7 linked regions of the Macaca mulatta genome follow. The protein of the gene in region 1 interacts with the protein of each later gene in a pairwise test. Links are inferred from orthologs where the notes say so. Each region holds a gene or a part of one and is shown in the gene's direction. Other genes may lie near its edges.

What was found.
Region 2: the proteins of DDX6 (region 1) and ZBTB8A interact in binary tests that used the Homo sapiens proteins (3 or more experiments, as listed by UniProt). The two-hybrid records come from large-scale screens. The link is inferred for Macaca mulatta from reciprocal best matches to the Homo sapiens genes DDX6 and ZBTB8A.
Region 3: the proteins of DDX6 (region 1) and SIPA1L2 interact in binary tests that used the Homo sapiens proteins (3 or more experiments, as listed by UniProt). The two-hybrid records come from large-scale screens. The link is inferred for Macaca mulatta from reciprocal best matches to the Homo sapiens genes DDX6 and SIPA1L2.
Region 4: the proteins of DDX6 (region 1) and MTUS2 interact in binary tests that used the Homo sapiens proteins (3 or more experiments, as listed by UniProt). The link is inferred for Macaca mulatta from reciprocal best matches to the Homo sapiens genes DDX6 and MTUS2.
Region 5: the proteins of DDX6 (region 1) and TLE5 interact in binary tests that used the Homo sapiens proteins (3 or more experiments, as listed by UniProt). The two-hybrid records come from large-scale screens. The link is inferred for Macaca mulatta from reciprocal best matches to the Homo sapiens genes DDX6 and TLE5.
Region 6: the proteins of DDX6 (region 1) and CEP70 interact in a two-hybrid assay, tested with the Homo sapiens proteins (2 studies listed by BioGRID and IntAct). The two-hybrid records come from large-scale screens. The link is inferred for Macaca mulatta from reciprocal best matches to the Homo sapiens genes DDX6 and CEP70.
Region 7: the proteins of DDX6 (region 1) and VPS52 interact in binary tests that used the Homo sapiens proteins (3 or more experiments, as listed by UniProt). The two-hybrid records come from large-scale screens. The link is inferred for Macaca mulatta from reciprocal best matches to the Homo sapiens genes DDX6 and VPS52.

The regions. Positions count from the first base shown.
Region 1 is NC_133419.1:119,435,432-119,439,241, reverse strand, and holds part of DDX6 (putative ATP-dependent RNA helicase DDX6), read left to right. Parts: intron 1-1,371; coding exon 1,372-1,488; intron 1,489-2,644; coding exon 2,645-2,708; intron 2,709-3,810.
Region 2 is NC_133406.1:208,334,748-208,339,299, reverse strand, and holds the start of ZBTB8A (zinc finger and BTB domain-containing protein 8A), read left to right. Parts: upstream 1-1,680; 5' UTR 1,681-1,746; intron 1,747-1,963; exon of another isoform or gene 1,964-2,005; 5' UTR 2,006-2,106; intron 2,107-4,552. UniProt on the Homo sapiens protein: May be involved in transcriptional regulation.
Region 3 is NC_133406.1:16,537,973-16,541,782, forward strand, and holds part of SIPA1L2 (signal-induced proliferation-associated 1-like protein 2), read left to right. Parts: intron 1-577; 5' UTR 578-849; coding exon 850-2,332; intron 2,333-3,810.
Region 4 is NC_133422.1:8,972,052-8,976,360, forward strand, and holds the start of MTUS2 (microtubule-associated tumor suppressor candidate 2), read left to right. Parts: upstream 1-1,248; 5' UTR 1,249-1,450; coding exon 1,451-3,697; intron 3,698-4,309. UniProt on the Homo sapiens protein: Binds microtubules. Together with MAPRE1 may target the microtubule depolymerase KIF2C to the plus-end of microtubules. May regulate the dynamics of microtubules at their growing distal tip.
Region 5 is NC_133424.1:3,855,146-3,859,598, reverse strand, and holds the start of TLE5 (TLE family member 5), read left to right. Parts: upstream 1-1,605; 5' UTR 1,606-1,802; coding exon 1,803-2,030; intron 2,031-2,216; exon of another isoform or gene 2,217-2,532; coding exon of another isoform or gene 2,533-2,559; intron 2,560-2,803; exon of another isoform or gene 2,804-3,110; intron 3,111-3,455; coding exon 3,456-3,553; intron 3,554-4,453. UniProt on the Homo sapiens protein: Transcriptional corepressor. Acts as a dominant repressor towards other family members. Inhibits NF-kappa-B-regulated gene expression. May be required for the initiation and maintenance of the differentiated state.
Region 6 is NC_133407.1:41,509,615-41,513,424, reverse strand, and holds part of CEP70 (centrosomal protein of 70 kDa), read left to right. Parts: intron 1-1,318; coding exon 1,319-1,424; intron 1,425-3,810.
Region 7 is NC_133409.1:149,016,017-149,020,539, forward strand, and holds the start of VPS52 (vacuolar protein sorting-associated protein 52 homolog), read left to right. Parts: upstream 1-1,705; 5' UTR 1,706-1,928; coding exon 1,929-2,018; exon of another isoform or gene 2,019-2,475; intron 2,476-3,007; coding exon 3,008-3,092; intron 3,093-3,239; coding exon 3,240-3,292; intron 3,293-3,471; coding exon 3,472-3,547; intron 3,548-3,728; exon of another isoform or gene 3,729-3,733; coding exon 3,734-3,801; intron 3,802-4,072; exon of another isoform or gene 4,073-4,104; coding exon 4,105-4,280; intron 4,281-4,523. Other genes in the region: RPS18 (small ribosomal subunit protein uS13), read right to left, coding at 880-978, 1,484-1,486. UniProt on the Homo sapiens protein: Acts as a component of the GARP complex that is involved in retrograde transport from early and late endosomes to the trans-Golgi network (TGN).

The DNA.
Region 1 (3,810 bases):
ACAGATACACTTTTGAATAGTTTCTGAAATACTTAGACCTTTACTAGGGTTAATACTCATTATTCACATATTCTGTATTTGTGAGTTTGCTTAGTCACTAGAATTTATTTGTAACTCCAGAATTAATACTCAAGGCAGTTTAGCAGTCATTTGTGGACGTGTACAGTGTGGCAAAGAGTTTAAGTCACCTGACACGCACATACCCAGCTGAGGTTGAAGAAGACAATGCTCTGTCCTCTTGTTTAGCTCTCATACTGTGAACAAGTATCCTTTTCACTGTGCCATATTTTTCAAATTTTTGTTGCTGATTTCACGGTTTTTTTTTTTTTTTTTTTTTTTTTTTTTTTTTTTTGAGACGGAGTCTCGCTCTGTAGCCCAGGCTGGAGTGCAGTGGCCGGATCTCAGCTCACTGCAAGCTCCGCCTCCCGGGTTCACGCCATTCTCCGGCCTCAGCCTCCCGAGTAGCTGGGACTACAGGCGCCCGCCACCTCGCCCGGCTAGTTTTTTGTATTTCTTAGTAGAGACGGGGTTTCACCGTGTTATCCAGGATGGTCTCGATCTCCTGACCTCGTGATCCACCCGTCTCGGCCTCCCAAAGTGCTGGGATTACAGGCTTGAGCCACCGCGCCCGGCCTGATTTCACGGTTTTAATTGACCCCTACTCATGGTGCTGAAGTGCTGCCCAGTGCTAGTGGCATTGGTTGTGAGTATATTAAAGATGTTCTTGGCTGGGCACGGTGGCTCACACCTGTAATCCCAGCACTTTGGAAAGCCGAGGTGGGCAGACACCTGAGGTCAGGAGTTCGAGACCAGCCTGACCAACATGCTGAAACCCCGTCTCTACTGAAAATACAAAAATTAGCCAGGCATGGTGGTGGGTGCCTGTAATCCCAGCTCCTCAGGAGGCTGAGGCTGGAGAATCCCTTGAACCCAGGAGGTGGAGGTTGCAGTGAGCTAAGATTGTACCATTGCACTCCAGCCTGGGCAACAAGAGTGAAACTCCATTTCTCTCTCTCTCTCTCTCTCTCTCTCTCTCTCACACACACACACACACACACACACACACACACACACACACACGTATTCTTAAATGGAAAAACATAAAACATAACTACTTGGAATCAGATAATCAATTGTATTACTCTTGTTGACAGTTATGTGGCCCTTAAGAAATATACTCTAATACAATAAATCTTAGATATTATTATATTCCATCTATTAAAGTACTTAGAATTTACCATCTCTCTCATATCATAAGATTCTAAATTTTAGACCATGTTAATGTTTCTTGTTTGCTGGTTAGTGTTTTCAAGATTTGGCAAGCCAAATGAAGGTTTTAATTTTTCTCATACTTATTTTTTCTGTGCTCAGCTTCAGATAAACCAGTCGATCATTTTCTGTAACTCCTCTCAGCGAGTTGAATTACTAGCCAAGAAGATTTCTCAACTGGGTTATTCTTGCTTCTATATTCATGCTAAAATGAGGCAGGTGAGTATAAAACTAGAACTTGCACAAATTTAACAAGAAATCTCTGATTTTATTTTGTTTTAATGTTCTTTTAAATGTCCTGAGTTTAAGAATAAACTGTTCCTTAGTAGCCAAAGGACCTTTCATTTTGACCTACCTAAGGTTCATTTTCTAGCAATAAAATAGAGATAATAGTACATATTCATAACTTACAAGGTAGTTAGGAAAATTAAGGTAAATGTTTAAATTTGTAAGCTGTCAGGTATAATACAAATGTAAAATTGTATTCTTCCTTTCATTCCCATGTTTAATTCTCTGTTTAATCCAGTAACCACTAGCCACATGTGGCCATTTAAATCAGTTAAAATTAAAATAAGGCCGGGCGTGGTGGCTCAAGCCTGTAATCCCAGCACTTTGGGAGGCCGAGACGGGCGGATCACGAGGTCAGAAGATCGAGACCATCCTGGCTAACACAATGAAACCCCGTCTCTACTAAAAATACAAAAAAATTAGCCGGGCGAGGTGGCGGGCGCCTGTAGTCCCAGCTACTCGGGAGGCTGAGGCAGGAGAATGGCGTAAACCCGGGAGGCGGAGCTTGCAGTGAGCCGAGATAGCGCCACTGCACTCCAGCCTGGGCGACAGAGCGAGACTCTGTCTCAAAAAAAAAAAAAAAAAAAAAAAATTAAAATAAAAAGTCAGTTTCTCAATCACAGCCACGTTTCAAGTGCTCAGTTAGGCACCTGTTGCTGCTGGATACTGTATTGGAAGTGGAAGTACAGACACAAACATTTCCTTTATTACAGAAGTTTCTACTGGACAGCATTGCTCTGGATTTTTAAATATGGCCCCTCAGCTGGCTGATTTTTCTTTTTTCTTTACTGTTTGCCTTTAGAGAAAGATGCAATGTCTAAATTTCAGAATTTGATTTAGCAAAAAATAATTTAAAACTTAACAAAATGACTTTTTGTTAACTACATTATGAAATTTCGTAAGTAAACAGTTTCTGTAGATGAAGAGATCAATAACTTAACTCATATTTGGTTTTGAAAGCAGCTTAATGTCATGGATCACTTATAAACAGGTTTTGGGTAGAACCGATCGACTAGGAGAAATAATCATGGGAAATTTGGGGCTGTATATGAGTGCTAATCAAATGGAATAAATTGCTTTCTCCTAGGAACATCGAAATCGTGTATTTCATGATTTCCGAAATGGCTTATGCCGCAATCTTGTTTGCACTGGTAAGTATTTTTGTATTTCCTTTACCCAGTGTTTTTCTCCCAAGTTCTTTTTTGCTTTCTTTGTTCATACTGCACGGTGCACCCTGTGACATAGTCCAGCACACCCTACCAATACTTCTAGGATTTCTTTTTTTTTTTTTTTTTTTTTTTTTTTGGTGGGGGGGTGGATGGAGTTTGTGTCACCCAGACTGGAGTGCAGTGGCATAATCTCAGCTCACTGAAACTTCCACCACCTGGGTTCAAGTGATTCTCCTGCCTCAGCCTCCCAAGTAGCTGGGATTGTGGGCGCCCGCTGCCACACTCAGCTAATTTTTGGTAGAGATGGGGGTTTCACCATGTTGGCCAGGCTGGTCTTGAACTCCTGACCTCAGGTGATCCGCCTGCCTCGGCCTCCCAAAGTGCTGGGATTACAGGTGTGAGCCACCGCGTCCAACAGTTGGGCTTTTAAAAATCATTACTTGCTTGCAAGGTTTCTTCAGATAAGTTCTTGAAGGACCAATACTGAAGGGCATATATAAAATACCACCCCTTTGGGGGAGTGTGGTTTAATTGGAGAGATAAAAAGGTAAACATTAGGAGTCTAAGGAAGCGCCCACATACTTTTCCTATGAAGTGCCAAATAGTAAATTTTTTAGAGTTTGCACATTAATTGGTCTTTATTACAGAGTTTTGCTATTGTAGCTCAGAAGTAGCCTAGACAATACATAAACAAATGGGCATGGCTATATTGTAGTAAAACTGTTTACAAAATCATTCACTGGACTAGATCCACAAGGCAGTAAAGGTGACTTGCAAATGGGAAGTATGTGTATAGTAAGTAATCCCAAGTGTTCGTAGCAGAGTAATATAATTGGCTGAGGTGGTTTGAGAAGAGATGAGATTTTAATTGGCTTTCTAGGCTAGGTAAGTTTCAAACACGTGGATTAAGTTTTAGGGGACTGATGGTCAGATGGCTAAGAAGATAAGTTTGATAGAGAAGAAAAACTGAGATGTGTTAGGGAAGTAAATTAGGACAAAGCATAGCATGGAGGACTTTGTTGTTGTTGTTACTCTTGTTGTTGTTGAGACGGAGTTTCGCTCTTGTTGCCCAAACTGGAGTGCA
Region 2 (4,552 bases), on another chromosome or scaffold:
TGGGAGGCCGACGCGGGTGGATCATGAGGTCAGGAGCTCAAGACCAGCCTGGCAACCTGGGGAAACCGTCTCTATTAAAAATACAAAAATTAGCCGGGCGTGGTGGTGGACACCTGTAATTCCAGCTACTCAGGAGGCTGAGGCAGAGAATTGTTTGAACCTGGGAGGTGGAGGTTGCAGTGAGCCGAGATCCTGCCACTGTACTCCAGCCTGGGCAACAGAGGGAGACTCTGTCTCAAAAAAAAAAAAAAAAAAAAAAAAAAAAAAAATTGGAATGGATTATCTTCCTCAAGATTTGAACTGAAGAGGTGGAAACAGGGATGGGGGTGGGGTAGGGTGGCAGTCAGAGTTTAAGAGACTAGCACTGGTTAATGATGGAGCCCCAACATAGAGAAACAAGCTCCCAAAGCTAGCAGAATGAAGATGAGGGACAAAACTGTCATTACCTCTTCCTTGCAACAAAGTTTTTTGTTTGTTTGTTTGTTTGTTTGAGATGGAGTCTTGCTCTGTCACCCATGCTGGAGTGCGGTGGCACGATCTCGGCTCACTGCAACCTCCACCTCCTGGATTCAAGCCATTCTCCTGGTTCAGCTGCCCCAGTAGCTCGGATTACAGGCACGCACCACTATGCCCAGCTACTTTTTATATTTAGTAGAAGGGTTGCACCATGTTGGCCAGGCTGGTCTCGAACTCCTGACCTCGTGATCCGCCTGCCTTGGCCTACCAAAGTGCTGAGATTACAGGCAAGAGCCACCGCGCCCGGCCACAACTAAGAGTTTATCACCAACCTGATGTGCTCTCTTGAGGAATAAGTTTGTGGAACTCTTTTGCATTAATCTTTAATTAAGGCTAAAATCAAACCTTTGGCTATAACCATGTCCAGGTCTTTCTGGGGGAATTCTCAATGGGGGGCGCTAGCAGAGTAATCTGAGTACATCCAATATACCTGATACCTAATGGTTTTCAAATATGTTTCTACTTACCTGTTCAGAAGGCAAGGAAACACAACTAAATAGCAAAGCACCTCTGCAGTGACACAGAAGTGACATTAAGAGACAATTGTGAAGATCTTGCATCCTCAAAATGCATAATTATTCCTGAAATCAAAGTTACAGACTGTCCAATATGACTGATTATGAACAGGAGAGGAATCCATTAAAAGCTAAACCCAAGTTTTGATAATTTGAACCTTTTTCCTCCAGTTTTACTATAACACAGTACTTTTCAGTACCTGACCCCAGCATAAGGAACTAGGAAACTAATTTATAGAAGTAATGCATCTATAGTAACAGTGAAAATCCACTGATTTACTATTTTAGCAAATGTATAACCTGATATCTGTACTCTAAATATTAGAGATGTAAATTTGTCAGAGGAAGCTTGGTATACAATGAATGCTTGTATTGGAAAAGACGGAACTTGCTGTTTTTACTAATTTTGTATTTCTCTGGACTTAAACTAGGAATTATGTTCTCTTAGCTTCTCTGGGTTTTCCTCTTCAAATGAAATGCTTCTGACCTGTAGAGGTTTAGAAAAGGTTATCCTCAACTAAAACAACTGCTTCAATACAAGAGAAAACTCTGTGGAAATCTTTTGCATTTGACGTTGCTAAACTTAAGTACAATAATGTCACATGTACTTATACAGTAATTGTGGGCACGCCTAAGTCCCTCCCTCTTTCCTAAACCAAATTCCCCAGATCCTAGAAATCCAGCCCTTCTGCCCTCCGGAGGCGCCTTTCCCAACGTAAAGTACAATTTTAAATTTCAGCTCCTGACTAAAATCATGATCCGCAGTCAACTGCTAGAGAATCTGGGCACCCCGGTGCCTCTGGAGCGTGCAGCGGGTGTGGGCAAGGGCAGGGGGAGTGGGCGAAGCTGCTGGTTGGTGCCTGAAATCTGTGCGTTGCCCCTTTAATTGTGTCCCCAGCCCTCGGGCGTTTCTGTCCAACGCCCACGTCAGCAAATACCTTTTGTTTCTCTCACGTTGGGGCTACTTGTTTTAGGGCGCAAAGGAACGGCCTCGAAAGGGGGTCCTTCCCCAGCCGAGAACCAAGAATCTTCCCCCGGCCCGCGCGCGCGACCGGCCGGTGCGCCGCGGCCCGCGGTAAGTGGCGGCGCGCGGCGCCGGCGGAGGGCGGGCGGGCGTCGGGGCTGCCCGGGACCCGCCGCGAGCCTGGCCGCGGGCGGAGGCGCCGCGGGCTCTCACGGCCCGGGCGGCGGCGGTGCTGAGATGCGGGCCCTGGGCGCGCCTCACCAAGACGTCCCCGGGCCGGGAGCGCGGCGGGAGGCGCCGAGGCGAGCGGGCGCCATTTGCAGCCCGGGGCGCAGCGGCGGCGGCGGCGGCGGCGCCGGCTCCGAGGGGCTGTGGGCGGCCACGGAGGACGCGCGGGCGGCGGCGGCGGGCCGAGCCCGGGGCGGCGGCGGGCGTTGGTGGGCACCGGCTCCCGGCCGCCCCTCCCCGCGCCCGGCCGCGCCGCCCAGCCCGCCAGGCCGGCCCCTCCTGCGCGCCCGGGAGGGGCTGCGGGACAATGGCCGCGCCGTCGCCGCCCGCGCCCGCCTAGCCGCCCGGCCCGGCCCGGGGAAAGGCGGGAAGGCGCGCGGAGCCTCCTGGCGGCGGCGGCGGGAAGGCGGCGGGGACGGCGCCGGGCGTGTCTGGAGCCGTCGAGCGCCGCGGACTCCGGAGGGGCTCGGGCTGCGCGGCGCAAAAACGGGCGGCCGCCGGGGGGGCGCGCGAGGAGGGCAGGGCCGGGGCCGGAGCCGGAGCCTCTGCGGGCGCGGCCAGGGGCGCTGCCGGTGAGCCTGGCTCCCAGGGCAGTAGCCCGAATTTCTCGGTACAGCCTCCATCCTTGGTTTTATGTCAAGATGCGACATCTGGGCTTAGAAAACCGAGGGCTAACTCACCGCGCCTAACCAATGTTGAGCTCCAACTATTTGCTTCTGGACGGAACCGTACATGCTCATCTCTACCCATGCTGACCGCCTCTTTTGTGAGTTAGTCAGCGGCTTGTTCCCTTCCCCTTCAGATGCGCTTATTTATCGCTGATTGTTCCAATGGCCCTACTCCACATCATTCTGAGACGCGTTTGGAAGCGGTAGATTTACACACACACCTGGTGGGCTTCTAACCACACGTCAGTATCACTATGCTTGATAAACCTCTATATTTGCACAACTTTAAATGGAGTGCTTTCACCTATATGAATTATTTCACTTAATTTCACATAAAACAACCACTTAGGCTGACGGTAATTCCACTTTGCAAATGAGGGAACACGTGTGAAGCATGGCGTTTCACCTCTAGGCCAGGGTGACATAGCCACCCAGGACCTCCTGTTCCCGTCCTGCCTTCCCTCCTAAGGTACCTCCAGAGGAGTCTTTAGAAGGGCCAATCTTACACAGCGCTTCCCTGCACTGAAAACCTTAACTGATCTTTTTCAGGAACGCCTCCAAAATCCCCAGCAAGCTTCTGCTCCAGTCTTAATCTCCTCCATGCCTCAGGTATGGATGCATTTGTGGACTGGAGCAAGAGCCCCTCACTGATAAGCAGGGATCAGATGTCTTTATTCCTGGGAACCTCTCTGGCCACACAAGTGGCAACTGGGAAGTGAGAATCTGGCTTAGGGCCCTTGACCAAATGGGTGTCTGGGTGGATTGTGCTCAAAAATGTCAGCAGGAGGCATAATGAGTAGGGACTCCAGGAAGGAGGCCAAGCCACTAACCCTTATCTCCAAGCCCTGAAATCACCAGCTTTGCTGTTGATAATGATTTGAGGCCATGAAAAACTTTGTAAGATAGAGTAATATTGATTCATCCTGTATCATTTAAATCTAATTTTTAGATACAACTATGTCTAATAGATTTAACTCAGTGACACAATGATATGTTAATCATATTTAAAGGATTTGATGTGTTTGATTCCCTTGAATGAAGCTTTTGTTACTTTTGTGCTCAAAATTGGTCAGTGGTTCCCCATCTTACGCAGTTTAAAAGCCAAAAGCTCCATAATAGTCTATGCAGCCTTACAGCATCTGGTCTCACTATGTCCTACTTCTCTCATGATTTGCTTTCCCTTTCTGACTCCATATCCCATTGCTTCCCCGCTGCTCACCTCAGGGCCTTTGCGCTTGCTTTTCCCTTTGCCTGAAATACTGTTTCCCCAGACACCCACATGACTCTTACTTCCTTTGGACTTTACCCAAATACCATCTTCTCAATGAGGCTTTCCCCAACTATAGTTTTGATTCTCTTAAGTGTTTTTATTCTAAATCTTTTCTGTCTCATGCCATTTGTGCAGCTATAAAAATACTTTGGGACTGGGTAATTACACAGAACAGAAATTTATTTCTCACACTTCTGGAGGCTGGGAAGTCCAGGCAGTTTGGTGCCTAGTGAGGGCTGCTCTTTGCTTCCAAGATGGCACCGCGTTGCTGCATCCTCTGGATGGGAGGACTGCTGTGTCTTCACGTGGCAGAAGGGATAGAAGGGCAAGAGGGGCCAAACTCACTCCCTCAGGTCCTTTTATAAGGGCGTTAATTCCATCCATGAGGGCA
Region 3 (3,810 bases), on another chromosome or scaffold:
CTTGTTAATGTCTTGTATTGACCCTTTTGCTGTGGGCCATTTTGAGTTTAACTGTTTTGAAGGAAAGTAAACTAATAATACTGAAACCCATTATATACATGACTTGTGCTACTCTTATAGCCAATTCATTCATTGAAATACTTCATGAATCCCTAGTTTAAGCCAGGCTACCTTAATAGTTAATGCTGGTACACAACTGAAAGGCATGGTTCTTTGCTTAGAGGAACTTGAAGTCAGTAAGTTGGTAAACAGCAATTAGAGATAAGGAAAATTACTCTGTTGGATATAGATGGAGTGCTGTGTTATCACAACATTCTTTGCTTAGATGCAATTAGTGTGGGAGACATCCTAGGAAAGTTTCTCAGATAAGTTAATACCTGATTGTATGATGTGAATTTTATCTAGCTGTGTAGAGAAGGAAGATGGTGTCCAGGGAGGAGTGTTACGAACAGTGCTGTGGATCATGAAACTTCGTGGGCAGAAGCAGAGGAGAAAGACAGATACGAAATCTATTGTAGAATGTGTTCAACTTGAAGTATATTAATTGCTAATGGCTACTTCCTGTCTTTTAATTCAGGTGAAGGAAATACTCATGACCAGCCAGATGTCTTAAGGAATGCTTTTGAAAAGAACAGAGGTGTACAACATTATTACGACAACAGAGAAGCAAATTGGCTTTGGAGAAACTGTATTCTGAAGATGTTGTTTGCTTTGGGCTAAAAAAAAAAGAAAAAATACAACTACAGACAAAGGCTTTATATCTGCAAGTATTATGGCGTGGTCAATAGCAATGTAATTAGATTTACATCGGTCTTCCTGGTGAGTCTTGGAGGCTCTTCCTCAGTAGACATGAGTGACCCAAGGCAGTCACAAGAAGAGAAGCACAAGCTCGGCAGAGCCTCTTCAAAGTTCAAGGATCCCCCTAGAATCATGCAGTCAGATGATTATTTTGCTCGGAAATTTAAAGCCATTAATGGCAACATGGGACCCACTACTTCTTTAAATGCCTCGAATTCCAGTGAGACTGGCGGTGGTGGTCCGGCTAATGGTACCCCAGCTGTGCCCAAGATGGGTGTGAGAGCAAGGGTGTCTGAATGGCCTCCTAAAAAGGACTGTTCCAAGGAGCTAACCTGCAAGGCACTGTGGGAAAGCCGGTCTCAGACCAGTTATGAAAGTGTCACCTCCGTCATGCAGAATGGGCAGAGTGACCAGAGCGAAGGTCAGCAAGATGAGCAGCTCGATCTGGACTTCGTGGAGGCCAAGTACACAATCGGGGACATCTTTGTCCATTCCCCCCAAAGAGGACTTCACCCCATAAGACAGAGGAGCAATAGTGATGTCACTATCAGTGACATCGACGCCGAAGATGTCTTAGACCAAAATGCAGTCAACCCCAACACAGGGGCTGCCCTGCACAGGGAGTATGGAAGTACTTCATCTATCGACAGGCAAGGCTTATCTGGTGAAAACTTTTTTGCTATGCTCAGAGGGTACCGAGTAGAAAATTATGACCACAAAGCAATGGTCCCTTTTGGGTTCCCTGAATTTTTCCGCTGTGACCCTGCAGTGTCTCCGAGCCTTCATGCAGCAGCACAGATTTCTAGGGGAGAATTTGTCCGCATCTCAGGATTAGACTACATGGACAGTGCCCTCCTGATGGGGAGAGACAGGGACAAGCCTTTCAAACGGAGGTTGAAATCAGAGTCGGTGGAAACATCCCTCTTTCGAAAGCTTCGAACTGTTAAAAGTGAGCACGAAACTTTCAAGTTCACATCTGAGCTGGAGGAGAGCCGACTGGAGAGGGGCATTCGCCCTTGGAATTGCCAGCGCTGTTTTGCACATTATGATGTCCAGAGCATTTTGTTTAATATCAATGAAGCCATGGCTACGAGGGCTAATGTGGGGAAAAGGAAAAACATAACCACCGGGGCTTCTGCAGCATCCCAGACTCAGATGCCCACAGGCCAGACAGGCAACTGTGAGTCCCCTTTAGGGAGCAAGGAGGACCTCAACTCCAAAGAGAACCTGGATGCCGACGAGGGTGACGGGAAAAGTAACGACCTTGTCCTTAGTTGTCCTTACTTTAGAAATGAGACTGGAGGGGAAGGCGACAGGCGGATTGCGCTCTCTCGGGCCAACTCGTCCTCTTTCAGTTCTGGGGAAAGCTGCTCTTTTGAATCGTCTCTCAGCTCTCACTGCACAAATGCAGGTGTCTCGGTCTTGGAAGTGCCCAGAGAAAACCAGCCCATTCACAGGGAGAAAGTGAAGCGCTACATCATAGAACACATTGACCTTGGGGCCTATTACTACCGCAAATTCTTCTATGGGAAAGGTAAGGAAGAGCCCTGGGCGTTTGTGTGCGTCTCGGGAGTAATTTTTTTAGGACCAGTCACAATGTTTTGCTTTGTGTTGGAGCACCTTCCTCAGAGTGTCCAAGGCCATAGTCCACTGGGCCGGACCTTGTTCTCCATCATGGTCCCTCCATAGCTTCCAGGCTAATTTTTTCTTTAGAAAACTGCAATTCCATGCCTTTGTTGATGGGTAGTCCTTCATGTGTAAATGCCCTTTTGGTTTGATTTCTCTTTCTGTCATTCTTTGTCTGCCAGTTTGTGAGCATCACAAATTCAAGTTGATTTTAGATTTGGATTTCACTTGATTTAGATTTCACCCCTTGTAAGAAGTCTTCCCTGATTAATTCTGTCTTCCTCCTATTCCTCTGAATAATCTCTTATGCTGCGTACAGTGGATCATTCTGTGATTCCCTCACCTCTCTAACCTTTCTGTACTTTGCTCCTCCAGCATTGCTGTATGTGTTGGACATGTTAAATCTTTGTTGAAAGAATGCGTGAATTACCACAACAGACAAATTTTGTTTTCGTGTAGTTCTGTAGATAGGCTTAAATGTTAAGACACAAATGATAAATTATTTAATTCTATGTCAAAGAAATGGTTTTTGCTTTACGTATATCTTCAGGCTTGAAGGATGCGTTCTTCAGAGGTCATATGGTTGAATCCTCAACCTTTAAATAAGTGTCCCGAATTATCCCAGGGCTAGGAGAATCTTCTCTGATTTAGAGACCTACAGAGAAACAGGTTCCACACGTGTCAGTAACACATGCCGAGGAAACACTGCGGCACCTCGCACCACCTTTTTATTGGGTGCAGCTGGTGTCCTTCACCCCTTCGTTACAATGCAGCTTACTTTTCGGAGCTATATTTTTCTGTCTTCAGTTTCACCTGTCAGCCCTCTTCCTGCTCCCAGGGATCCAGGGATAAGCTCACGGAGCACCTGAGGAGGCACAGGGTGGGCCCCGCTGCTCTCCTCCTCCTGTTTCTCGTGCATAAACTATTCTGCTTCTAGTGCAGATAACTGGGAGCTAAGTGTACTTTTATTTATTTATTTACTTTTTTACTTTGCATCAATCCAGACTTAGCATGTCTTTCATAATCACGTTATGACAACATGTAACTCAGAGAAACGATCTGATGCAATAAAGCTAAATAAACAGATATTTACACTGCATCTGGCCACTTACTGTGAATTGTCTCTCTGTCCTCATACTGATGACATAATAGGACTGAAATAATTTTGTCAACAGATCTTGGTCCCTGTTGTTGTCTCCTTTCCTCTCCTCCACCCTGAATTTCGGTCTTGGCTTCAGGTGTGCCTTGGTGTTAACATCATGAGTTACTTCCTTCCAGCCAGTGGAATCAAAGAATCTTGGATCTGCTTTTTTTTGTCTCTGCTGTGAAAATAACTCATAACCTTCATGCCTGTGTTCATGCAGAGGTATCACATTATATCACATT
Region 4 (4,309 bases), on another chromosome or scaffold:
TGAGGCCAATGTGGCAGCAGCCTGCAGAGCAGATGGTGAGGTGGGGATGAGGCCAGAAAGGTGTTCAGGGCCTGATCATGCAGGCCGCGAAGGCCGGAATGAAGCGTTTCCCCCAAGTTTTTATTTTGGAAAATTTCAAACTTATAGAAAAGCTGCAGATGTAGTAAAATTCTTAACTAGATATTCAAATGGTTGACTTTTGCCAGTTTCTTTCTCTCTTTTGCACACATATGTCTCCTTCTCATATGCACACACACATACATACACATGTTTTTCTTGGTTGAATCATTTGAGAATAAGTTAGAGAAATCATGACATACTACCCCTGAATTCTAAAGCATGGATATTTCAAGAACAAAGATGATCTCTGGCATAATTATAGCACGATTATACACCCAAGGAAATTAATTATGACATACCTGTACCTTATATACAGTCCATATTTACATCTCTCATTGTCCTAATAATATCCTTTGCTAACATATTTTGAAAATCCAGCCTCTGCTGACTTTTTTTTTGGGACCAGTTAGGCCAGTTATTTTGTAATACATACCTCAATTTAAATTCGCCAGGTTATTTTCTCATGGTTAAATTCTGGTTGAACATTACTGCATAGGTGATGTGTGGCCCTGAGAACTAACTAATATCAGGAGTCCGTCATGTCAGTTTCGATACCAGTGATGTTAAATTTGATCACGTGGTTAATGTGGTGTCTACCAGATCTCTCCATTGTAAAGATCAAATTTTCTTTTTGTAAGAAATAAAGTAGCTGGGGGAAAGATACTTTAAGCATCTATAAATATCTTGTTCCCCAACAATCTTTTACCCAATGTTTGTACCTTTGGCATCCCTTGTGCAAGATAATTATTAATGCAGAGATTGCAAAATAGTGATTTTTCAAATTCTGTAAATTTTTTTCTACATTCGTTGATGCTCTTCTGTAAAGAAGAGCCTTTACTTCTCCTTCACCCTTTTAAATCAGTATCAGTATAGACTTGTGGATGTTTAAAATTTGGATTTAAGATTTCACATGCATTTATAATCCATTTCTAACATTAAACATTCTGATGTTTAATTTCTGTCCGTATTTGGTCAGCAGGAGCCCTGATCAGAAAGGTTTTTGAGAAAACTATCGAGTGAATGAAATAATAGTATAGAAATGACGAATAAATCTGTGTTTACCACTTTTTTCCTCCTGAGAAGTTCTATTTGTCCATCTAATGTGAATGTATTTTTATTTCTCTCTAGGTCTCACGGACTAATTGGCTCTCATTCAGCCGGAACCTAGTTCCTGCTGTATATCAAGAGAATGCTTGCTTTTCAAGCTCTTCTGAGAATGATTAAAGCAGTGTCACAAGCTGACATTGTCAGGGGAGGACAAGCAGCCTGAGAATTTCCTATTAATCTGATTGCAGCTTGAAGGCAGCCCATTTCCATTAAGTAGGACTGCATGGCAAGCAGCCCCACCAAAGGGTTGACAATGAGCGTCCCAGTGGCTCCTAAGAAATCATGTTACACTCAGCTGCGGGACAACAGAAATGCAGCAAGAAATAATAATGAGAGCATCCTAAGTCTGGGAGATACAAATGCCAATCAAATCACGTTGGAGGTCAGCTCCTCTCATGATGAGTCCAAGACATGTGACCTGGAAGATGAAATTGGAAATACAAATTCAAGTGAGCCAGAAAACCGTACCCATTTCCATAAGGAATTTCACCAACTTCAGAGCTTTGAGAAGGGATCTCAGCCTGGCTCCACCAGCCTGAAAGATTTTAGACTTTCTTCAACCATTCAGAGGGAACTCAATGAGGAGCACACAATGGAGAGAGGCGCAGATAGCCCGCAGACCCCGCGGAGTATCCAGGGACCGAGTCTGTCGAGTTGGAGAAATGTGATGGGTGAGGCCAGTCTAGACGTTTTGGCTAAAAGGGATGCTGAAATTCCCCGGCACGTTCCCAAGGATAAATTGGCAAAGACCCTCAACAATGAGGAACTGAGGAGGCATTCTTTGGAAAGAGCAAGCAGCTCTGTAGCTGTAGTCGGGAGCCTGACTCCGCAGCATCCACAGCCTGCACCCCTTGACTCCCAGGAAGCACGGGGTCAGGTGCCTGGGGGTGGGGAGGGGCCACAGAAGACATTGCCAGACTGCGCTCTCCCGGCAGCGTTCCCTCCAACTGACAGTACCTCAGAGGGAAAGAGTGTGCGTCATCCTAAACCATCTACCTCAGAGACCAAGCAGAGCACCCCCTCAGAGACCCAGACAGTGGGAGCACATGTACTGCGGGTGTGCAGTGAGCACATACCACGTTCCGCCCATCCAGAGCCTGCTCTGAATCTGACTTTGACATCGAGGGAAATCCCGAGTAAGCCAGAAGCACAGTTAGGTCAAGGAAAGGCAGAGGCCAAGCTGGAGCTGAAATATGTTTCACCCAGGAGGGTTGAACAGGAGGGAAAGGCAGCCCAGGAAGGGTATCTGGGATGCCACAGGGAAGAGAATCTTTCAGCCTTGGAGGGAAAGGATCTGTGTGGGGAGGCGCACCCAGAAACCACCGATGCACTTGGCTCTCTGCCAAACAGTGACCTCCACCACCTTGGGGTGGGAAGAGGCAACAGTGAAGAGAAGAGAGGAGTCAACCCAGGGAAGCCGGATTCTCTCCACGCCACCCCCAAACAGGCCTCTGCTTCCTTAGGAGGGGCTGATAGTCAGCCCACTGGCAACATTTCACCATGTGCAGGTGGGAAGTTGGGTGAAAGGACATCCGGCAGCTTTTCACCAGGTGATGGTCATGTGGCTTTTATTCCTACTAATCTGACTGACAGCAAACCCTTGGATGTCATTGAGGAGGAAAGGCAGTTGGGCAGTGAGCAACCCACAGTGGACAAGGACAGTGTTACAGTTCTGGTGTTCAATCCTTCCGTTGGAGAGAGCCAGACAGAGGTGCCTGAGCCCCTGGAACCTCAAAGTGGCAGCTCAGAAGCACGGGAAAGCAGAGAGATCACCACGTCTGTTGCTGAAAGCAGGAACCTTCTAGAGAATGCAGATAAGATTGAACGCACCTCAGCAAGAGTAGATTCAGTTCTCAATATTCCAGCACCCCTCCTCCCAGAGACAACTGTGAACATGACCCACCAGCCTACAACACCCAGTAGCCGTTTTCAGGATGTTAGCGTGTTCGGTATGGATGCAGTGTCCCCCTTGGCGGTACCACCCCCTGCTGATAGTGCACGCTTGTCGAACACATCCCCCAAAGTGCCTGACAAGAACGCCTGCCCCAGTGGGATCCCCAAGCCTGTCTTCACACATTCCAAGGACACACCTTCCTCGCAGGAGGGAACGGAGAACCATCAGGTTGAAAAAACAGAGGAGAGGACAGAAACCAAGCCCGTCATTATGCCCAAGCCCAAGCATGTGAGGCCCAAGATCATCACCTACATCAGGAGGAGTCCCCAGGCCCTGGGCCAGGTGGACGCCTCGCTGCTTCCAGTGGGGCTTCCATACGCCCCGCCCACATGTACCATGCCTCTTCCCCATGAAGAGAAGGCTGTGAGTGGTGACCTGAAGCCGTCTGCCAACCTCTATGAGAAATTCAAGCCGGACCTGCAGAAGCCAAGGGTCTTCAGTTCAGGATTGATGGTGTCTGGAATCAAGCCCCCAGGACATCCTTTCGGTCAAATGAGTGAAAAGTTTTTGCAGGAGGTAAGAGAATGTCATCATGATATGGTCTGTAAGTTGACTGTCCCAAAATCTGTGACATATTTTCAATGAGTTATGAAAGTAAAATGTCCTCTTTAAGTGAATTGCAGATTTTCATGGATACACTGGTGAAGAAATGGAGTCTTTGACTAGAGGAGATTGTCTAGAGAAATGACCATTTTTAATTAGAAGAGTCTGATTCTCTTAATAAGATGCACCCAGTATCTCAGGAGACCCATTGAAATTTCACTTGCTATAATTCGTATGAAATTAGATGAGTATGCATTAAATAGGCTTCCATGTTTAAATAAGTGAATATAATATAAGCCAGGTCAAAGGAAGAAAGAATGCCAAATTACTGTATTCTTCAAATAGATCAGACTCATTCCTCAATGGGGAGTATTTTCTACCTGGGAGTATCTCTTATTCGTACATGTGAAGAACAGCAAATGAGCAGAAAGCAGTGTGTTAGGCCTGCACTGTTTCTTTAAAATAAAAATAATAATTACAACTAACATTTAATTGAGGGCCAGCTCTGCAATGGGCCCGTGTCATATAGCATTGGATCTTTGTTAATCTTCACTAATCTTTGCAATAATTCCCTGAGGGTTGGTA
Region 5 (4,453 bases), on another chromosome or scaffold:
TTGCATTCATCCAAGGGAGCAGGCTGCTTAGTGGATGACGATGATGAAAAGACTGTGTGCTCAGCACCTGCCAAAGGAGGACCTTAAAGGAACAGCCTTATTTCTTTTTTTTTTTTTTTTTTTTTTGAGACGGAGTCTCGCTCTGTCGCCCAGGCTGGAGTGCAGTGGCGCGATCTCGGCTCATTGCAAGCTCCGCCTCCCGGGTTCACGCCATTCTCCTGCCTCAGCCTCCTGAGTAGCTGGGACTACAGGCGCCCACAACCGCGCCTGGCTAATTTTTTGTATTTTTAGTAGAGACGGGGTTTCACCGTGGTCTCGATCTCCTGACCTTGTGATCCGCCCGCCTCGGCCTCCCAAAGTGCTGGGATTACAGGCGTGAGCCACCGCGCCCGGCGGAACAGCCTTATTTCAATGGCCTCTTTGGGGCCTGTTCTCTGAATGGCAGAAAGAGGGATACTTTCATAACCGCCACCAGGTCCCATTCCTCCTCTTCCCACGGCTCTCCAGGATTCCCACCTCACTCAGAGCAAAAGCACAAGTCTAAAGCCAGGTGCGGTGGCTCACACCTGTAATCCCTGCACTCTGGGAGGTAGAGGCGGGAGGATCACCCAACGTCAGGATTTCAAGATCAGCCTGGCCAATATAGTGAAACCCATCTCTACTAAACATACAAAAATTAGCCAGGCATGGTGGTACGCACCTGTAATCCCAGCTACACGAGAGGTTGAGGCAGGAGAATCGCTTGAACCCGGGAGGCGGAGGTTGCAGTGAGGCAAGATCACGTCACTGCATTCCAGCCTGGGCAACAGAGTGAGACTCCATCTCAAAAACAAACAGCTGGGCAAGGTGGCTCACGCCTGTAATCCCAGCACTTTGGGAGGCCGAGGCAGGTGGATCACCTGAGGTCGGGAGTTCAAGACCAGCCTGACCGACATGGAGAACTCTCGTCTCTACTAAAAATACAAAATTAGCCGGGCGTGGTAGCACGTGCCTGTAATCCCAGCTACTCGGGAGGCTGAGGCAGGAGAATCACTTGAACACGGGAGGCAGAGGATGTAGCGAGCTGGGATCGTGCCATTGCATTCCAGCCTGGGCAACAAGAGTGAAACTCCGTCTCAAAAGCAAACAAAAAACAAACCACCAGGTCCCATCCCTCCTCCTCCCACAGCCTTCCAGGGCTCCCACTTCACTCACCCAAAAACCCAAGTCCTCCCCATGGCCCACAAGTCCTTGCTGGACTGGCCTGCTTCACCAGCTACAGAGTTAGCAGGGCCCAGTGCAAAAGAAAACTGAAAGGCCCCTTGTTCAAAAATGATTAGGAATCTCAAAATGCAACACTAAATATTAACCCAAGCACAAGCCCTGCTGAGGAGGGGGGGGGGCCCGGGCAAATGCATGAAGCCCCAGGCCCTGCCTCCCTCCGGCCTTCCTGACCTCCGCCCTGGCACCCTGATGCCAGGCACAGTCCTGCCCCAGGGCCTTTACACCTGCTGGTCCTGCCTCTGAGTACCTCTGTACCCCATCCCCCTGTTCTCTCTCCTTCTTTGGGTCGTTTTAGGGGCGGAGGAAGCTCTCTCTGATCCTCCCTGCCACCTGTTTAACTTTGCATCTTCCTACCCTGCCATCCTCCCGGCTGGTTTTTCTGCAGAACGGTCCCCACCATCTGACCTGCTGGGAATTCAGCTTGTTAATTTGTCTCTGTCTGTCTCCAGGCACCACCACCAGAGCAGGGACCCCCCACCCCCGCCCCCACCACAGGGCCCTGGAGCAGCAGGCCCTGGCACACAGTAGGCGTTCTATAAATGTGTCGCAAGAATGGCTTCCCTGAGAAAGGCGGCATTACCGCTGCCTTTCTGCAGAAAAGGAAACTGAGGCTCAGCGAGAACCACCGCCCAGCCAGAGCCAAGGTCACAGAGCACGTCCGTGGCACGCGTCCAGGTCGTGCCACGGCAGGGCTGGCGGCTTCGACGCGGGCAGCCGGGTCCCTTTTCTTTGACAGATGGGGAAACCGAGGCCCGGCCTGCTGCCGGGTTGGGGGGGGTGGCGGGGGCCGCGGCCCGGGGCGGGGGCGGGCCGGGCCCAAGGTCACCGCGGCGGGCGGGCCCTGGGGAGGCGGGCCGGGGTGGGGATCCGCAGGCCTCCCCGGGCGCGCGCCTCCCCCCCCTCGGCGGCGCGCACGGGGCACGGGCGGCGGCGGCAGGTGGAGCCGGAGCCTCAGCATCAGCCGAGCCGCGGCCACTGCCGGCGTCGCCGCCATTAGACAATAGCGGTGGGGCCGGGGAGCGGGGAGGCGGGCGGCGGGGAGGGGCGGGGAGGGGCGCCGGGCGCGCAGGAAGCGGGGCCCGGGGCGCGCCGGGGCCGGGCGCGCGGGGAGGGGGCGCAGGAAGCGGGCGAGGCCGGGCGCGGGAGGCGGCGGCGGCCCCGGGAGCTGCCGATCGGCGCCGGGACAAAGGCGCGGCCGCCCGGCGCCCCCAGCAGCCCGAGCCGGGGCGCACAGCCGGGGCGCAGCCCGCGCCCCCTGCCGCGACTGACATGATGTTTCCACAAAGCAGGCATTCGGTAAGCGGGGTCCGTCCGGCAGGCGCCCCCACCCCGGATCCCGGCCCTGCGCTCCCCACCCCCGGCTCCCGGCCCCGCGCCCCCCACCCCCAGGCCCGGTGCCTCCGGCCCGGCACCCCCCCCAACTCCCCGGCCCTGTCTTCCCTCTCCAGCTCCAAGCCCGGCGCGACCCCCCTCCTGCCGCCGGCCCCCGGACACCCCCCAGTTCCCGATCCACCCCAGCTTCCGGGCCCCGAGCCCCCCCGTCCCAGCTCCCGGCTTGGCGCCCCCCCCCTCGCCGGGACAGGCAGGGCCTCGGACGGCCTTGGCCTCGGGCCTGGGGCGCTCCGGGAGCCCCGCCAGGCACCTCTAGCGCGGGGATCCTTTGGGGGCCTGTGGTGGGGGGGCGATCCGAGGCGCACCCCTCCCGGAAGAGCGCGTCCCCGAGGAAGGGCGCTGGGAATCTGGGGTGGGCCCCCCGGGAAGATTTCGGGCGCCGAGAGACCCCTCCCCCAAGAGGGCTTTGCTGGGAGGACTCGCTGCCCCCCAACTTGGGGAGGGGGCTCCCTAGGGTGCGTATCCACCCCCCTCGGATGTGCACTCCCTCCCGGCGCTTTGGAGGGGCGGTAGAGGGCGCACCCTGCCCCCCATCTAGGGCAGGCCTTAAAACGCACCCCCACTGCTTGGAGGTGGCGGGGGTCGGGGCGGCTCCGGGCGCACCCACCCCCTCGGCTTCCCCCGGGAGAGGCGGGGGGCAGGAAGCGCGGGTGGGGGCCGCGCCAGGGGCCGTAAACACGGGCCCAGGAAGTGGGGCAGGAGGGGGGGCGCCGCAGCTGCGCGGCCGCTCCCTCCCGGCTGGCCCTCGAGGGGGGTCCAGCCCAAGCCAGGGCCTGACCCGGGCCGCCCCTTCCCCACAGGGCTCTTCGCACCTACCCCAGCAACTCAAATTCACCACCTCGGACTCCTGCGACCGCATCAAAGACGAATTTCAGCTACTGCAAGCTCAGTATCACAGGTGAGCTGGGGGGCCGAGGGTCCCTGCGTCCCGAGAAGGTGAGCCCCCCACCCCATTTTTTCTGCGCAGATGGCAAGGCTGAGGCCTGGAGGGGAGATTGGGAAAATAATGTATGCTAGACTCTGACCTAATACTTGACAAATAGGGAATTCATTTTTTTTAAACAGCTGCATTCTGTGGAGGACAAAACTGAGGCACAAAATAAGTTAAATAATTTGCCCAAAGACCCAGCTGTGTGGCTTCAGAGCCCCTCCCTCCTACCCAATCCCCCCAAGTCCCCCCTTGGATAAAAGACAATTGGAGTTAGGGCACAGACTCGCCGTCCCCCCAACCCCCAAAACAAACATTTTGCAGCCTGGTCATCTCTCTTTGCCCAGTTTTGGAGAAAGGGTTCCCAGCATCAGTCAGATTCTCCCAGGTGCTTCTTTCAGAAATCTCCTGGCGTTTCTGAAGAGCTTGCCATGCTGTGGTATCTAAGGGGAAGGAACTATTTAGTCCTTTTACACTTAAAGAAATTTAATCCCAGGCCGGGTGCCACCGGTGGCTCACGCCTGTAACCCCAGCACTTTGGGAGGCTGAGGCGGGTGGATCACTTGAGGTCAGGAGTTCGAGACCAGCCTGGCCAACATGGCGAAACCCCGTCTCTACTAAAAATACAAAATTAGCCGGGTGTGGTGGCAGACGCCTGTAATCCCAGCTACTTGGGTGGCTGAGGCAGGAAACTTGCTTGAACCCGGGAGGCGGAGGTTGCAGTGAGCAGAGATCGAACCACCACACTCCAGCCTGGGTAACAGAGAGAGACTCGGTGTCCGAAAAAAAACAAAAAAAAATAAAGAAGAAGAAACTTAAGCCCAGAGAGGTTATTTCCTCGGGGATGTCCGTAGCGTTGAGGAAGTGGCA
Region 6 (3,810 bases), on another chromosome or scaffold:
TACCCAACAGTTGATCTGATAACCAAGATGGCTACTAAGTGACTAATTGGTAGGTAGTGTATACAGTTACAGCATGGATAAGTTGGACAAAGGGATGAATCACATCCTAGGTAGGATGGAGTGGGACAGTATGAGATTTCATCACACTACTCAGAGTAGTGCGCATTAAAAAATAATAATAAATTTTAAAACTTATTTCTGGAATTTCCCATTTAGTATTTTTGGACCCTGGTTTACCTTGCGTAACTAAAACCATGGAAAGTGAAACTACGGATCAGCATGTACTACGGTACTGTTTTCAAAGGCATGAGGAGGGAGGAGAAAGATTATTACAAGCTGTCTTCTAGATATTTGGAGAAGGACAAGTGTTTGCTACTAGGTGGATACACTTATACATAGTTGTATTTCTGGGTAAAGAGACTCTCCTTTCCCCCAGCATTCTAGCAGCCACCTGGAATAATGGTCTCTTGGATCTCCATGCCCTCTTGACTGGCCCAGGCATCGCCGTTGTCTGTTCTTTGCTGTTAGTAGAATACAAAGAGAGAGGGACCAAACGTCTAGCTGTTCCTGCTACAGTACCCAAACCAGTGGCCCTTCCCACGCTTCCTGCTCCCTTTATCTATAGTCTGTAAGCTTGGAGCACCTTGGATGGAAGTCGCTTCCATCCTTTGTTGTATTTCTCTCTTGTGCTGTCTTTTGTGGGTGTTGGGGGCTGGTTAGAACTTTCTTCTTCCATCTGATCTCTTCTGTCTTCAGAGATTCCTTCAGATTTGCTATTTATTGAGAGGGCCTTCTTGTTTTCCAGTGACAATATGATTTAAAATTTTTTAAACTCTGGTCGGGCTCAGTGGCTCACGCCTGTAATCCCAACACTTTGGGAGGCGGAGACGGGCAGATCACGAGGTCGGGAGATCGAGACCATCCTGGTTAACATGGGGAAACCCCGTCTCTACTAAAAACACAAAAAATTAGCTGGGCATGGTGGCGGGCTCCTGTAGTCCCAGCTACTCGGGAGGCTGAGGCAGAAGAATGGTGTAAACCCGGGAGGCGGAGATTGCAGTGAGCCAAGATCGCACCACTGCACTCCAGCCTGGGTGACAGAGAGAGACTCCGTCGCAAAAAAAAATTTTTTTTAACTCTATATAGGCATATATATATATGTTTATAAATATACATACATATATGTGTGCACCCATACATATAAGTGAACTGATATAAGGCTGTTGGGAGGGTGACTGGATCATTTACTTAGTTTATCATCTTGGTCCAGTGTCTAGGAAATAATTTTGCATTATCTTGATTTTTTTCTCCCTTTTAGATTACAGGAGCTTATTAGTCCTAAGAAGGCTGAGGACACAGAGAAAAAAGATGAGCCCAGCAAATATAATCAGCAACAGGCCCTAATTGACCAGAGATACTTTCAGGTATTGAATTGATTTTTCATGACAAAAAGACTGATGTTCGTCATAAATCTTGGTTATCAGTTGCAGTGTAATAAATTATCAGTTGGTAAGGAATACTTGCACCTCATATTTATGTGTACTTATTCTGTTTTGTCTTTCTGTGATATAACTAACTGTTTGACTAAAAACATTGTAGACTTCATCTTACTACTTAAAGGAGACTCTGGGCCTAGTTCAAAGCAGGTTAGTAAAGAGCTTTAAGATTTTTAAAAGATTTTATAATCCTTTTCCTTCCTTCCCCCTGTAAGCCATTTTCCCTCTTCTTGTTTCTTTTGTTGCTATTATTATTATATAAGTAAATCTGTTTTCTTAGGGTCCTTGTATGGCTTTGTTTTTGTGTAGAGACCTTAGTTCATCTGAAATTAATTTTCTATATGGTGTGATATAGGGAATCTCACCTTCCTAGTTTTACAGATCATTTATTGAATAGCTGAGCAGTTAAACCTGGTAGTTTAGTGACTGAACTGGACTTTCACTCATATTTTATTGGGTACACATAAGATTTTTAAATTTTAGATTATTCACTTTTTAAAAAATTAAGATATTTTATTTTTTCTAGGCTGCTATTTCTAATTTCTCTTAAAAAGTCAGAAGATCTGGCAACAAATTCCTGCATGGTTATTATCACAGCAGAATTAGGCCTTTCCCTTGTCAGATATGAGCATGTGTTCTATAGTTAGCCAGTTGCTATTCATCCTTACTTCACTCATTTATACTCGTACCTGGATTCTCTGGGTGTCTGTGTTTGCAGTCTCTAATACGCTACTTTTTTGTCTACTTTATTGAAATAACATTTTATCATAGATCATATTCCTTTATATGCACAGATTTGTTTTTAGATTCTCTAGTCTGTTGCATTTCTCAACTGTTTCCATATATTAATTTCTATAGTTATAAGTTTTAATAGCCCTTGAGGCAAGTATCCTGTCATTTAAAAAAAATTTTTATTGGCTATATTTTTAGCACATTTATTCTTCTGGATGAACAGTTTTCAAATTAAAAACTAAATCCCATTGAGATGAACTAAAACTGAATTGACTTTATGGATTAATATTTGGAGAAATGACACCTTAACCTTTTTGAATCATCACATTCAGAGAAATATGTACTTTCATCAGGGTCATCTTTTATAGTCTTCAATAAAGTGTTGTATATTTTTAAATTTAGCTCTTGCATATTTCTTGTTAGGAAATACCTTGCTATTTCCTAGGTATTTTATAACTTTTATTGCTATTGTAAATGGGAACCAAGCACCTTTCTGAAAACTGTTTTGTTTTAGACTTTCTTGTACCAGTATGTAACTGGATTTCATTTTGTTTCTGAGACTCAATTTGAGAGACTTTGTCCTTTAAAGGGGGAATTCAGGCCGGGTATGGTGGCTCACACCTGTAATCTTAACACTTTGGGTGACCGAGGCAGGAGGATTGCTAGAGGCCAGGAGTCTGAGATCAGCCTGGGCAATATAGTGAGACCACATCTCTAGAAAAAAAAATTAATTAGTTGGGCATGGTGGCGTGCACCTGTAGTCCTAGCACTTGAGAGGCTGACATGGGAGGATCACTTGAGCCCAGGAATTCAACGCTGCAGTGAGCTCTGTTCGCACCACTGCACTCCATCTTAGGCCACAGAGTGAGACTCTGTCAAATAAATAAATAAAACATATATACATACATCAATCTGAAGTGAAATATTGAATTACACTAATTTGGACTTAAAAAGCTTCTAAATAAACATCTGAAGTAATATAATAAACATATTAAGTCATATTACCAGGAGGCCTATTAGTTATATCTTGAAGTATGACCAGGGACGAAGATTCAGGAGCAAAATGCTATCTTTATATTGTGAAACTTTTTATTAAATAGGCTGAACTTGATGGTGGTAATAGGAAATGGCTTTATTCTTCTCTCTTTAAACATGCTTTTTGGGGGTCTCCCTTTTTATCCTTGGATGATATCTAAGGTAGAACTCATCACTTATGGGGAGAGGGTTATAGTCAAATAGTATACTATCTTAATATATTAAGATATTTAAAATTCAATCCAGGCATCAATGATATTATTTTTGGAGACAGGGTCTTGCTCTGTTGCCCAGGCTGGAATGCATTATCATAGCTCACTGCAGCCCTGAATTCCTGGGCTCAAGTGATCTTCCTGCCTCAACCTGGGATTACAGGCATGAGCCACCATACTAAGCCTGGGGATTACTGTTAATTTCCTTAAATAGTCTGATAACGGTCTTGTGGGTTTGTAGGAGAATATGCCTACTTTTAAAAGATGCACGCTTTATTATTTCAGGGTGCAGAGTTTCTTCAAATGGTTCACCTCAAAATATAGATAGCAAATAT
Region 7 (4,523 bases), on another chromosome or scaffold:
TTATTAGTTTCACAGAGCACCCAACAGAAGGAATTTTCCTCTACACATTCCTTAAACCAGCCAACAGTATCCCTACTACTATCCATTAGCTAACGTCGCCTAAGTATCTACCATGCAACAGAAGCCAAGAACTGTAAGACAGGCCTAGCCCTGCACCCATGAAGTGGACACATACTGGTAGGCTATTTCCACAACTAACTACAAATTCTGACTTAAGAAAAAAAAAAAAAAAGAACGTGTGTATCTAGAAAGCCAGGAGTTTATTAGGTTTGTGGAGAGAAATACCCAAGTGAAATAATTATTCTTGCATTCACTGATTCGATTCTTAAAAGCCGAAGAGAGAGATGTACTCCTTCACACTTTAACAGGAGTGTCAACTCTGACATATGAGTAAATGTCCTGCTCATACTTCTTCCACCCTCCATCTACAAGTTTCTTCACACTTTTTATCTGTTGGCATTTTTACTCATCCCTCAAGATGCCCAATAATCCTCCAATTCTGAGGGAATATAAATTTCACAGGAAGGGTTGCTGTTATAATGGCAGGGTGGGTAAAGAAACCGAATCTAGAAGGATCTCACGGTTCAGGAAAATCTTAGCGAATTCGGGTGAGCAACCATACCTCCTTCCCACTCCCCCGGGTGAAATGTTTTGGCTTGACCTTAGACCACTCTCTTGGCTTTAATCACTTATTTTCTGTGGTAAATGTGGTAAGTGCTAAAGGGGTTAGTCTCTCCCTAAACCACTTTCTTTTCTTAATCCAGCAGTCAAGGTGCTCTGGATGAGACTCAAGTCTCCCCAACCTTGCTTCATTTTTGCTCATGTCTTCACAACCCAATTCTCATTTACATTCCCTATTCCTTACCCTACTTTACTTACCTTAATGGCAGTGATGGCAAAGGCTATTTTCCGCCGCCCATCGATATTGGTGTTGAGTACTCGCAAAATATGCTGGAACTTTTCAGGGATCACTAGAGACTGGTTTAAAAAGTACGGGGGAGAAATTAGACACAGTAAACTATCAAACAGTAAGGTTGAAAAGGCAAACGAACTTCATACAAAACGGTTAAGCCTGTCACACAAGTGGCAAAGGCACCCGATCCCCACCCCTAAGGTTTTCACACCACACAGCAAACTCCTCAGTCCTGCAGAGTAGGTACATGAAGCGTTCAAGCTTGGGAAAATGCAACCTTTGGAGAGAGGAGGCAGGTCTCCTGCCCATTCCCAAAAGTGCGTGGCGGAAGCCAGAGTTCCCCATATACGCCCAAGCCTTAGGCAGCTTCCGTGCGCCAGAGCAGTGACCCTTCCTCGGGCCCGCTCTCCGGAACTGGAAATCTTTGGTGTCCCTTTCCAGGGGCGCGATCCAAGGCTTCATACGGAAAGTCTCAGGCCCTCAGGACAGGGCGTTTCCAGAACCCCAACAGCCGGCTTTCCTTGCCCGAGTTGCGATGTCGCTGGATCACGGCACGGATTCCAGGCTTACCATGGCGGCAGCACAAGCGGCGGCGTGTAGGCCTCCTGTGGAAGAGAGAGCGGAAGTGACGCGGTATCATTATATAGCGTTCAGGAGGAAGAGGCGGAGCGATCTAGGAGAAGTGCTTCCGGAAACTGTTTCAGCCTGACCTAGCTGGACTTAAGAGAGTATGGCTCGGGTACCACAACTTCCGGTGCGCCTTTCTTTACAGTTCGTAAAGTTCATAGGTTTAAGAGAAGCGAAGGTTCCGGGCTAGTTTGTGCTTCAGACTTCCACATTTCCGTTTAGAGTTGGGTGAAGTGGTTAGAACTGAAAGGGAACAGCTGGAGTCAAACAATTTAACTCAAATATCTGGGAACGATTTCGCGCTGAGGAAGACCCTTTGGGACTTGTAGCTCCACTCCGGGGAACAGACTCGCCGGCCTGACAGTTGCCGGAAGTGAGGCTGCGGGGAATGGCCGCCGCTGCGACCATGGCGGCTGCCGCCCGGGAACTGGTGTTGCGGGCAGGGACGTCAGACATGGAGGAGGAAGAGGGCCCGCTGGTGAGAGCGCGGAACTGTTTCTCCTCCGTAGTCCCGGTGCTCCTAGCTTCAGAAAGACCTGAGCTGGGTTTAGGCACAAGGGTGGGAACTTGGCTGCTACCTGTGATATTACCTGTTTGACTCCCCGTACCCTTCCCTGTGATCAGACCCGACCCTGAGCGGGACCCTCGTGGCTGAAACTCATATTCTGGGGCACAATTTCAACTTCGCTCCACATTTTGGGGTAGAGTCAAGAAGTAATATAGTGTAAAGGTTAAGAACATGGACTCTGGAGCCAGACTGCCTGGGTTCTAATTCCATCTCTGCCACTTACACGCTGTGTTCCCTTGGGCAAGTTAACCCGCTTTTCTGTGCCATCATTTCTCAGACCTATAAGATGAGGAAGATAGAACCTACTGTATACATCGTTGTTAGGATTAGATGAATGAGTATGTTTAAGATTGCATCTCGCACGCAGGTAAACACTATGTATTTTGACATTTATAGAAAGCCTGGGGTTCCCCAGAGGTGTGATAGAACATCCAAGATGGCAGGAGCCTGAGGGTCCTAAATTTAAGTGCAAGTTCAGCTCCATCCTCTGCAATTCCTAGCTTTCCTCATTAGGTCATCTCCACTGTCTTGTCTTTTACTTTTTTTTTTTTTTTCTTGAGACGGTTCTCCCTGTGTTACCCAGGTTGACCTTGAACTCCTGATCTCCTCAGACAGTCTTCCAGTCTCAGCTTCTAAGTAGTTGGGACTACAAGGAGCCCGCCACCATGCTGGGCTACCTCCACTGTCTCATTGGATCGTCTCACTCCTTGTCGTATTCCTTACCTATCAACACAAAATAGGAGAGTGGGTACAATGTGAGACTTACAGTTTTTCAAAGCGGTACCTGTGGCTTCCAGCAAAAGCACCTCCTTCTCACTTGAAGGACTGGGGATATCCAATTACATTTTTTCTTTCTGTCTTTCACTGTATCCTACTCCCATTAACTTATTCCTTTTCAGGCGGGTGGTGCTGGGCTCCAGGAATCACTGCAACTTGGGGAGTTGGATATCACTTCTGATGAGTTCATCCTGGATGAAGTGGATGGTAAGTGATGGCGTGGAGTGGGTGCAGTACCTGTAATCTGAGAGGCATGGGAGCTGGAAGGAATAAGGTAGGGATTGGTGTGCAGATACTCAATGTGGGGAGAGGGAGCTGTGGAGCTGAACCCTTACGATAAACTTCTATTTCCAGTTCACATTCAGGCAAATCTGGAGGATGAGTTAGTAAAGGAAGCTCTTAAAACGGTGAGGATTTCCCCTATACTAATCTGCCCTTCTATCTACTGTCCCCCAAAAGGAAAAACAACAGTTTTTTGCTTTTGTTATATCAGCCTGGTATCTGATCCTTTAGTCCTTCACTGATTCTGTTACAGTGTCCCTTTACTGAGACTTTTTTCTGACCTGTCATCTTTATGTCCTCCCAGGGTGTAGATCTTCGTCACTATTCAAAACAAGTTGAACTGGAGCTACAGCAGATTGAACAGAAATCCATTCGGGATTGTATCCTCCAGCAGAGGGAAGGGGCGGTGCTATTGATATGGGGATTTTGTGGTGTGTGGTACAGATGTCTCAGCTGGGGTCAACATCTGTGAGGTTTCTGTCACTTCAGAGAGCAATTGGAGAGGTACTACAAATCTGAGGCTCTCCCATTTTCACCATGAGGCCCCTTGACTTTTTGTGGGTCAGATATTCAAGAGAGTGAGAATATAGCATCTCTGCACAACCAGATCACAGCCTGTGATGCTGTCCTGGAGGTTAGTAATCCTGAACTGTGACCCCTAATAGCTGCTCTGAACCAGATCATGGACTCTGGTGCCATTTTTAGGTCATCAGCCTTAAGATGGGGACAAGTTAGGGTCATTTTCAAGATGACTTCAGGAGCCTTTTTTGTTATTGCTGCCATATTTAATGTTATTTCCTGGTAATCTGGGGTATCTCATCCTCTGCCACCCTCATGGACTGATGAATACTGAGGACTTCACAGAGAGGCTTTGGTGGCCCACTTATCCCCTACAAACCCTATAGCACTCCAGCAACATCTTCTACCTTCCCTACAGCGAATGGAGCAGATGTTGGGAGCTTTTCAGAGTGACCTCAGCTCCATCAGCTCTGAGATCCGGACACTGCAGGAACAGTCAGGAGCCATGAACATTCGACTTCGAAATCGCCAGGCAGTTCGGGGGAAACTTGGGGAGCTTGTTGATGGTCTGGTCGTGCCTTCTGCTCTGGTCACGTGAGTTACCGGTTTGAAGGGTCATGATGTCCGTGGCAGGTGAATGGGCTGGGGTGACCTACCTTATTTACCATATGGGTCTACTGGCTCCAGATTAAGTGCTTTTTAGAAATTAGTAGCCAGGTTAACCACCATTTTTTTAGGCATGCATTAGGCATCAAAGATTAAGATTAAGAATGATGTAAGATCGGCTGGGCGCAGTGGCTCAAGCCTGTAATCCCAGCACTTTGGGAGGCCGAGACG